2 linked regions of the Arabidopsis thaliana genome follow. The protein of the gene in region 2 interacts with the protein of the main gene of each other region in a pairwise test. Each region holds a gene or a part of one and is shown on either strand. Other genes may lie near its edges.

Region 1 (4,976 bases), about 14 Mb from region 2:
TATAGTCAGTTATAAGTTAGAATTCTGTTAAAAGTGTTAAAATAATGTTTTGTTTCAAATACTTAGTTTATCAAATAAACTTTTTTAATCTTTTTATGTCACCATGAGTTATCTGAATAAAGATGTTTATATATCCGCAAGACTAGTCAAAAGTGGATAGCTCCATTAACTGTTATAGTGTAACTATTCTAGTGTAACAATTCTTAGAAGTATTTGGTTTTACTATTTTAGTCTTACTTTCTATACTTGATTGTTCAGGTAACATTTTCAAAATTGGAGATGATTTTACTTAATCGTAAACTTATTACTTATATACTAAAAAGCTTGTAAGTAGGGCCCGAAATGTGGAAAACATTGTAATTTAAATCCAAACTAGTTTTAGAAGAAGACGCAATGTATATATAATAATGGAAAAATATGAAAACGATATCAGCCAAACATACTTATTATGAATATTAATTGGAGAGAAGGAGTGTAACCATCCATATGGTGTGAATTCTATGATTTTTGGACCCATTGTTATAAACGAAGGAAGAAGACAAAGAACATGAAGACATGAATAGTTTTATTTCAAAAGTAATGAATAAATATATAAATAAAAGGAATGGTTGTCGTTTGAAAATGGGTACGAGTAAATAGTGTTGCAGACTCTGCTCCAACAGTAATTACAACAATGCAATATGCAACCACGACCCACTTGCTTCTATTCATTTCCCATTCTTGTTCTCTCTCCAAATTGACTAATGTTTTAAATGTTATATGATCATGATAACCATTCTTTTTTCTCTTTGCACGCTTCTTCGTTAGGTTAGGTCGTACGTAAAAAGTGATGACCTAATCGTAGAGACCAACTAAATTTCGGTTCTGATTACTTAATCGAGTGTTTAAATTTGCTTAACTTGACATTTGTTACCAAGAAAGGAGAACTAGTAGTGAAAAAAGAGAGTTTAAAACCTTGACAATCGCTTAACCCAAAGTTTTAGAATATTTCTGCTAGTACATAAGGTAAATGTACACATTTATTGTAGTTGTTGTATTGGTTGAATTTGGCTCTGTTGGTTGAGGTTTCAGATTCATAAAAAAAAGTACTGTAGTTACTAGTAAAAATGAACTTGAATTATGGTTGTATTGTTGTTATACAAAAATGGCACACTTTATGAAACCAACTAAAAACAAGTATCCATTTCTGATAATAACATTTTCGAGGATTTTTAAGATATACAACAAAATGCAGAACTATATACAAAGTCTTGTGTCTTGAGAATGTAACTTCAATTATTAACACCAAAATGTCTAAAAACCTAAAGCATCTAAGAAACGGTGCCACTGTCTCTAACCCCTTTCTCAACAGTTCGATACAAAACTTCCATTAATGTTTTTCTATTCCCTTCACATTTGGAAATTCAAACTAAAAATGCATAAACAAAAAATACTATAACCTCATCTTAAAAATTACTAATGTCCCAGTAACATTAATCTCATAGGGTTACTAATCATGGGTTATCTTTTAAACTCCAAAAACAAAGTAGGTATCATTATATAAACAAGTTTCATGGTATATCTCCTAATTTTCCCGTAGAGGAAAGTATGAAGATATATATAGAGAAGAAAGACAGAGTCCGTGATCACTCACTCTCTCTCTATCTCTATATATCGACACACCATAAAAGTTGTTCTTTCTCTCCGTTTCCTTAGCCTCTGCATCTGGGCGATTTTCTCTTTCTATCTCCCTACACCTTAGGGAGTACTGATCCTAAACTCATCATCTTTCTATGCCTTCCTCTTTTCTTTCACTTATTTTCTTTTCTATTTTTTTTCTTTCTTACTTTGCGTAAAACTAGCGAGTCAAAAATAAAGACACTTGCATGATCCTAATATAATATTATATATTGTAATTAGAGAAAGAGAGAGAAGAGAAGAAAGAAAGTGGCAGTAGATTCTTATGGATTTTGGTATAAAGAAACATGAAAAAATGGGTTTGACCGAAGAAACTTTGAGGACGGTAACTTCATTATCAACTTTTCGACTGTATTTATATTTTAGCTTTTGTCAAACCGTATCATATAATATTAATGCGAATTACTAGTAGAGAGTATAATAATAGTAATAACAAAATGCTTGGTTACTGTATGTAAATCCCTAGACAAAAAGAATAAGAATAAAAAGAGCAAAATTCTTCATCCCAAGATCCATCAGGAGAGTCAGAGTCAGACCCCATCTCTCATTTCCCATCTCTCCTTTTCACATTTATTTCCTTTTTTTTCTTTCTAGATACTTTTTTATTTTGAAATTTAATACTAATAACTATACATTTATTGTTATTATTGTTGTTAGAGTCTATGCTAGGGTCCAAGGGTTCATCCCAATATCCCTTCTTCTCCTTAGAAACTCGCAACTTCTTCACATGGAAATCAATTCCCTCTAGTACCAAATCCTATTACTATTGAAGGTATACTCTATAGTTATTTATTTAGTTAAGTATATATATTAAAAATAAATAACATTAATTAGTACTAGTCTTATCATATTTATTAGCTCATTTTCTTATAAAATACTAATATAATAGGAAATTTAAGCACAAGATGAGCTTTGCCCATCGAGAGCCTCAAAACCCAAAAGTCTCTTCTTCTTCACGAGATCCAATCTTTTGCTTTTTAGTAATTAATTACATCTTCTTCCTTCTCTTCTCTCTTCTTCTTCCCTCTCTCATACCTACCTATAAGCAACACAAAGAACACCATTGATCCCATCTGTTTTGTTCCCTATATTTCGTTAATCCATCCATACGCATTCCAACTACACGGTACAAATTTCCATCTCTTTTTAATTTGTTTTTATAATGATTTTAAATCTCTCAGGTTGTCTCTAGACTCTTAGGTCTAGTTACCAAAATTTGACTAGCAATCATATAGCTACAAGTTCCTCTATATCATATAGCTACACATATCTCTAGGTCTGAAATGATCTTTTATCTCCCAAGCATATATTATATATTTGGATGCATACCTTTATGTTTGACTTTCGAAAAGCACCTTCATGTTACTCATTTTTTCCTCTATTTGCTTTCAACAGTTGACAAGAAGGTTGGATCAGTATATATAAGTATACATATACACTTATGTGTGTGTGTAGTGTATGTGCATATATAGCTCACCAAATATCTTTAATACTACTAATTGCAAAGTTTCTCTTATTTTACAGCTTTTTGTATGCAACCCCAAATAGCAGCTTAAAGAAAGCAGAGAGGATCTTCTTTTATTTCCCCTCTGAGCAACAGAAGCCATTATTCAAAGAAAGGCTTCTTTAATTTACTCGCAGGTAAAAGCTTTCTTATTCTATAGAGATTGAACAACTTTTTTTTTTTTTTAATTGACAACAATAAAGATTGAGCAACTTCTCTACATTATTTCTTTCTTTATTTTCTCACTTAATTTCATATTTGATTACAAAAACAGATAATGTAATATCTCCAAAATCACAATTGATTTCATAATATCTTTTTTTGTTTCCTTATACCTTCTACCTCCAAAAACTAAATTCAAAAACCCTTATTTCTCTCAATTTTCAATGGCGGCTTTGTGTAGGGAGAGGGAAAAGAGAAAAAATTGAAAAACTCCATTTTCAAGTCATTAAAATGGCATCTTCTTCAACAAACTCACCATGCGCCGCTTGCAAATTCCTCCGGCGAAAATGTCAACCGGAATGTGTATTCGCGCCCTATTTCCCACCGGACCAGCCACAAAAATTCGCAAACGTTCACAAAGTGTTTGGAGCAAGTAACGTGACAAAGCTCCTCAACGAGCTTCACCCTTCACAACGTGAAGACGCAGTGAACTCTTTGGCCTATGAAGCCGACATGCGCCTCCGTGACCCTGTCTACGGCTGCGTCGGCGTCATCTCTCTCCTCCAACATCAGCTTCGTCAGCTTCAGATAGATCTCAGCTGTGCTAAATCTGAGCTCTCTAAGTACCAAAGCCTCGGTATCCTCGCCGCCACTCATCAGAGTCTTGGCATCAACTTACTCGCCGGAGCAGCAGATGGAACAGCCACCGCCGTGAGAGACCACTATCACCACCACCAGTTTTTTCCTAGAGAACAAATGTTTGGTGGCTTGGATGTTCCGGCCGGTAACAACTACGACGGTGGGATTCTTGCCATTGGACAGATCACTCAGTTTCAGCAGCCGAGAGCCGCCGCTGGAGATGATGGTCGCCGTACTGTTGATCCGTCTTGAGATTTTAGGGTTTTGGTGGTGTTCATCTTCGTCGATCGCTTGGTGATGAGAAAACTATAATTTTAAGAAAATATTTGATGTGGAAAACCAAAATATTTTAAACGTATGGTACGTCTCTCTTAATGACATTAATTTCGGTTTTTATTATTATTATTACTTAGATATATTATGATAGTCACTTTTGTATTTCTTTCAAATTTTATGGACTTGCTCTCTTAATTGATATCACATACTTGCATTATAGAGTATATTATTTCCAAATATGTCGAGTCTATTGATCCGCATATGTACCTCCAGCAAGAATATAGACCTAAATTCAGTTAATCATTGAGTGATTTTAATGGTTAATGTTAGACTTCTTAAGTATTTAAAAAACATTATTAGTAAAAATTATGAATATGAAATATAGTGTATACCATGTAGATAAATGTATTATAGTGTTTTCCTTTTATTTTTTTTGTAGTTCAAATTTTAAAATTAAATAATAAAGGAAAACTATTAAAAACATTTAAAATTGACATATTTATATAAATGATATTTGCAAGAAAAGAGGTTTGATGTGGAACACTGTCAGCGTCAAGGATAAGATTTGATGTAAGAAGAGGCTTAACGGAATATAACATGAACATGAAACATCTTATCTCCGGGCGAATTATACCCACTAGCTCTTTCTAGGCTTTCTCTCTAATTAAAAAGTCTCCTTCATCTATTTATGATGACTCTATTTATTGTTGTTGTAAAT
Region 2 (5,515 bases):
TTTGGTTAGCCCAAAGTGGGTTTGTATCGACATATCGTGTGAGATGAGTTAAACTTTTTTGATATACTATAACATGAGTCGGAGAAAAAAAAGTACGTAAGATGATTCATATTTTGGAATAATATATGGGTTGAAACATTATGTGATGACTGACGTACGAGTGACGACATACTAGTATGCTATTTGCAAATATTTGCTTTATTTTCACTCACTGCATCTGGATGGAACTCAATTTACAAAACCCATGTAAATTTGTATATAATTTTCTTTGACATGTACTATTTTAATATTTTTGTTACTATTTTTATCTTTCTACAACTAATACATAACATTAGATCTATAAATTTGTTAAACTTTGCTTTATACAGTATACAAAAACGAATTTTGACATTGTTTCCCTATCAAGAAAATAGTCTTAATTAGAAAGTCGTTATTGGTCGGAAGTGTAAAGAAGTTCCCAAGTTGACAATAATTTGCTTACTGAGCTACCGAGGTTAGGGATAATCGTCCAGGTCTTATTGTGAAACATTATTTAGTTTTCAAAAATTATTTAATAATTACTCTTACTAGAATCATGTTCTTACTTTACATACCAAGTATTGATAGTTCACTTAGTTTCAAAGATTTCCTTGGAAGGAAGGTTGAGTATTTTTCCCCAAATTTGAGTCTTTACGTGGAAGAAATTAAATTGTTTAGGCTTTGAAAATACAATCAAAAAGTGGTTCTAAAGCTCAAAGCTTGTTTGTTACAAAAGAAAAAATTAATATTCTTAATTACTTTACTTTTATTTGAGAGTCATATGTTTGGCCTATCTTACATTAAATCCAAATAGGTCATTACCCATGATGGCAACATGTTTTAATTCATGATGTTTCTTTTTTCCTATTTCGGTTAAGTTTTGTACTAAAACCTCAACCATATCTAAGCAAACAAAAATATCATGGTTGGCGTAGGCCGAGTAAAAGCGTGCATCTTTTGCCACGGTTAACTCATAGTGTACTGACTAAATCGGACTCCCGCATATGCCCAACAAAGAAGTTATACAATTTGTGTCATGACCAATATTCATTGTATGATTAAGGTTACTGAATTTGGCCAAGAACCCCATATATTTTATCGCATGCAAGAAGTGAAGCTTCTGCCTTTGAAGCCCATGTGTCCACTTTGTCACCTCGAGAGTGTCTTTTCTTCACCATAGCATGAAACATTATGTAAGTTAGATGTTTCTTGAAAATGTAAATTAAAACAATATAGGCTATATTTGCATCAAGGATGTATGCTTATTCCTAGTTATATTGTCTTATCAGATGTAGTGTCATGAACCTTATTTATATGATTAAAACATACATTATACTTCAGTATAATTCGATTAATAGAGGGCAAATTGATCGAAAAAGAAAATAAAAGGGCAAATATTGATATTCTAATAGTTTAGTGGCAGAATTGAAAAAGGAGAAAGAAAGAAGGGTAAAAGAGAGAGAAAAGAACAGAACAAGGAAAGTACAAAATAGTCCAAACAGTGCACTTGTCTTCCCTTGTCCGAAGGCAACTGTTTGATATTTTTCTCTAACAGGTAATAAAACTCATATCTCTAGCCTCTCTCCCCATTTCCCATTTTCTGCTAATTTTCTTTCACTTTCTCGGCTGATTTTCCTGGGAAAATACTCTTTATCTAAACGTCCTAAAACACTACTCAAAAACGAATGTTTTTTTTATGTTATAACTTATATTTGTGTGACTATTTTGATATAACTATTATTGCAGATCTGTGGATCTTAACACTTCTCTAATGCTTATAATGACGAGATCTAAGCATGAGAAGGAAGAGATAAGAAGCTCATGACAAGAATCTGAAGAAAATTAAATTTGTTTTTCACTTATCGCCGCCATTGTTGTTCTACACTGAGCTTAGACAGTTGACACCTGTAATCCAAAGTGAGTTTTCTCTTAGCTTGTTGGTGATTTTTGAGGCAAACCCTTTATTTATATTTTAAAATCTCTGCTTTATTTAATGTATCAAGATTCTTATTTTGCAAACTGCCATGTAATTTAGGGCAAAGCTTCTAGCAAGAACAAAATCATTAGTCTTGTTCATCTTCTTCACTTAAAAATCTCTCCTTTAATTTCTGGGTATTTATTATTTTCACCAAAGCTCATAATCTTTAATAAATTCCTATAGGTTTCATAGGTTTTATATAATTAATTTAGGGTTTCTGAAAAAGGCTCTTAAGCTATAGGTCTATGAACATGAATAGATTTGGCAGATCTACAAATTTTTATTATTTTTAGCCTTTGAGCAGTGACTTTAATTTCTTCTTACTTTAATTTTTGCAGATTCAAAAGTTTATCACTGCAACATACTCAGGCTTTTTACTTAATTATCATAGCTCTGATAAAGTATGAGAGTAGCGTTACAATGGAGGTTGACGAAGACATTGAGTTACAAAAACATCAAGAACAACAAAGCAGAAAGCTACAAAGATTCTCAGAGGACAACACTGGACTAATGAGGAATTGGAACAATCCATCGTCTCGTATCATTAGGGTTTCACGAGCTTCTGGTGGCAAAGATAGACATAGCAAAGTGTTAACATCAAAAGGTTTAAGAGATCGAAGAATACGTCTCTCAGTTGCTACAGCAATCCAGTTCTATGATCTTCAAGATCGTCTTGGATTTGATCAGCCAAGTAAAGCTGTTGAATGGTTAATCAATGCAGCTTCTGATTCAATCACTGATCTTCCTTTGCTTAACACAAATTTTGATCATCTTGATCAGAATCAGAATCAGACCAAATCTGCTTGTAGTAGTGGAACATCTGAGAGTTCGCTGTTGTCGTTATCAAGAACAGAGATTCGTGGGAAAGCAAGAGAGAGAGCTAGAGAAAGAACAGCTAAAGACAGAGATAAAGATTTGCAGAATGCTCATAGCTCATTCACTCAGCTTCTCACTGGTGGTTTTGACCAACAACCGAGTAACCGGAATTGGACCGGTGGTTCTGATTGCTTTAACCCGGTTCAGCTGCAAATACCAAACTCTTCCTCTCAAGAGCCAATGAATCACCCATTCTCCTTTGTACCTGATTACAACTTTGGAATCTCTTCTTCTTCTTCTGCCATTAATGGTGGTTACAGTAGTAGGGGGACCCTTCAGTCCAATTCACAATCTCTCTTTCTGAATAACAACAACAACATTACTCAAAGGTCATCGATTTCTTCGTCTTCTTCTTCCTCTTCTCCAATGGATAGTCAAAGCATTTCCTTTTTCATGGCTACACCTCCACCTCTTGACCACCATAACCACCAGCTTCCGGAGACTTTTGATGGTCGGCTATATCTTTATTACGGCGAAGGAAACCGGAGCTCTGATGACAAGGCAAAGGAAAGGAGATAGTAAAAACAAAATGCTTCCTTTCATCTCTCGCCAATCTTGGTTAGTCTTTTTCTATCTTTTTAGTATCTCAATTCTTCAGTTTTTAGAAAAATGGTTTATGGATTAGTTAAATGTAGTGATAGTACCATGTTGTTTGATTTGTTATAAATTTTGGTTTCTTGATTTCACAAAAGAAAGATGGTTTATTGGGGCGTGGCAGTGAGTCATATTTTGTTGGTTTCATAATTTCATTACATTTTTGTGTGTCTCGAAGTAATAATGACTTTAGGATTATATAATCAATGACATGTGGATGAATTTGAAAAGAGGGCTTCATCGTCTGTTTTTGTCTCCTCATGTGTTCTATGTTGGGTTTCCTTCTTCCTCAGCATCACCTTGTTCCAATTTGTGATCATTTACTTATTTTCTCTAAGGGTAGGTCATTTCATTAAATTTGTGTCCCATTTTGATGTATTTATTCATTCACATGATACAGTAATTCACCTAAACCTTTTGACTCCATTGAATTAGTTATATATATATATTAGTATTGCAAGTTCTTGGTTTAGGAAATCTTTATAGCAATTTATTTTAATATGGAAAATGTAATGAGGTGATGAACTGTTTTGGATAAGAAAGAAGTTAGTTAATATTTAATAATTGGCATCAAAGAATCAACATTTGACAAAAGACTTTGCTATGAAGAAAGTTTTGTCCTTAATAGATAAATATTTTATTTAAGAGAAAAAGATGGGAAGTTGAGTGTTTTTTGCCTGGCAAAATTGTTTTAAAACATTGTCCTCCTGAAGTGGCACCACATGCTATGTGTCGGACTCTAATTATCCCATCTCTTCATTGTTGTCATGAGCTCTTTCCCTTTAATTCGGAGCACTCACATTTTTAGATCTCTTTCACATCACATTTTGAGTGATTCATATGTTTTCTTTTACCTGAAATCTGAATTGATGTTGTTTTGATACATAAACTAAGTGGAGCTTGGTTGATTGATTCATTTCTTAAATTTCTTACTTTTTGGTTTGATACTATGGGCACTAAACTACAGGAACTTCTTTAATAACAATAATATAGACTTTGGTATCAACATAGCACTGATTTGTAAAGGTTGGATTTGTTTCTAGTAATGAGGAATTGTAAGGCTAAATGAGTTTTTATAGTTCATAATGTATTATTGTGTGAAGGAAGATGATTAAACTCCAGTGGTTGTTATACATTACTTCCACACTTCGATTTCTTGATAATGGGTTTGAACAACTTGGTCGTGGCTCATACTTTCATCAAGATATATGGTTGATATATGAAAATGTTTCTTGGAATATATGCAGGAGTGGAAGTGTAATTTGTGGGAAGACGATGTTTGTGCAGCCCTGAGCATGTATATGAATCCTCCATTGCAATCATAAGCCAGGTTGATTGTATGTTCAGACCGCGAGGAATTGTTTTTGTTTGATGAGAAACATGTGTTATGTAATGAATCATATATATGTCTCTATATGTGTTCATGTTCATTGTCATAAACTTTGTCCGAAACTCGGACCAATGTTTTCAGGTCATCCTCATTCTGTTGGCTGCATGTTATGTAGCATTTTTAAGCTTCTATGTTACAATTGGGGCAGTATGAGTAATACAAGAGCATATATCAAATTAGAGAGGGGATAAAAAGGAAGATCAATGTCTAAAGTAGTTAGCTTCAAGAACAGAGTATCCAAGTATCAAGAACAGAACATCAAAGTGTCGAAATAAAGCTTATACATATTATTACAGACTCTTTTGTAACATAATCCCTTACGTGTTACGACGATTCACATCCTTCATATGTGCCTCTTTTTAACACAGATCACACACATGTTCTTCCTCACTCGCAGACTTCTTTTACAAGAGTGTATGTACAATGGCGTTCTTCTTCGGTTTCAGAGAACCTCCCTTCGGCATCCTCCATGCCTGCAGATTCATTCGACGCAGGCCTCATGACTGGCGAAGCAGTATGTCTCAAAAAAAGTCGAGAGATTTGCGGTTTTTGGCTTCAGGACATTTGTGAACTCTCTGTTCTCTTTCCTTCATTCTCCAACATATGTGGATTTGTTTGCTCCCACCATCTGCAAAATGTCTATGATTAACACTGTCAAC

What was found. The genes of interacting proteins can lie anywhere in the genome.
Region 1: the proteins of TCP24 (region 2) and AS2 interact in a two-hybrid assay, tested with the Arabidopsis thaliana proteins (one study listed by BioGRID).

Annotation. Positions count from the first base shown.
Region 1 is NC_003070.9:24,396,512-24,401,487, forward strand, and holds AS2 (Lateral organ boundaries (LOB) domain family protein), read left to right. Parts: upstream 1-1,631; 5' UTR 1,632-2,002; exon of another isoform or gene 2,003-2,803; intron 2,804-2,806; exon of another isoform or gene 2,807-3,201; 5' UTR 3,202-3,318; intron 3,319-3,584; 5' UTR 3,585-3,634; coding exon 3,635-4,234; 3' UTR 4,235-4,475; downstream 4,476-4,976. UniProt on the Arabidopsis thaliana protein: Negative regulator of cell proliferation in the adaxial side of leaves. Regulates the formation of a symmetric lamina and the establishment of venation.
Region 2 is NC_003070.9:10,626,630-10,632,144, reverse strand, and holds TCP24 (TEOSINTE BRANCHED 1, cycloidea, and PCF family 24), read left to right. Parts: upstream 1-1,514; 5' UTR 1,515-1,573; intron 1,574-1,578; exon of another isoform or gene 1,579-1,764; 5' UTR 1,765-1,935; intron 1,936-2,334; 5' UTR 2,335-2,416; coding exon 2,417-3,391; 3' UTR 3,392-3,430; intron 3,431-4,713; 3' UTR 4,714-4,960; downstream 4,961-5,515. UniProt on the Arabidopsis thaliana protein: Plays a pivotal role in the control of morphogenesis of shoot organs by negatively regulating the expression of boundary-specific genes such as CUC genes, probably through the induction of miRNA (e.g. miR164).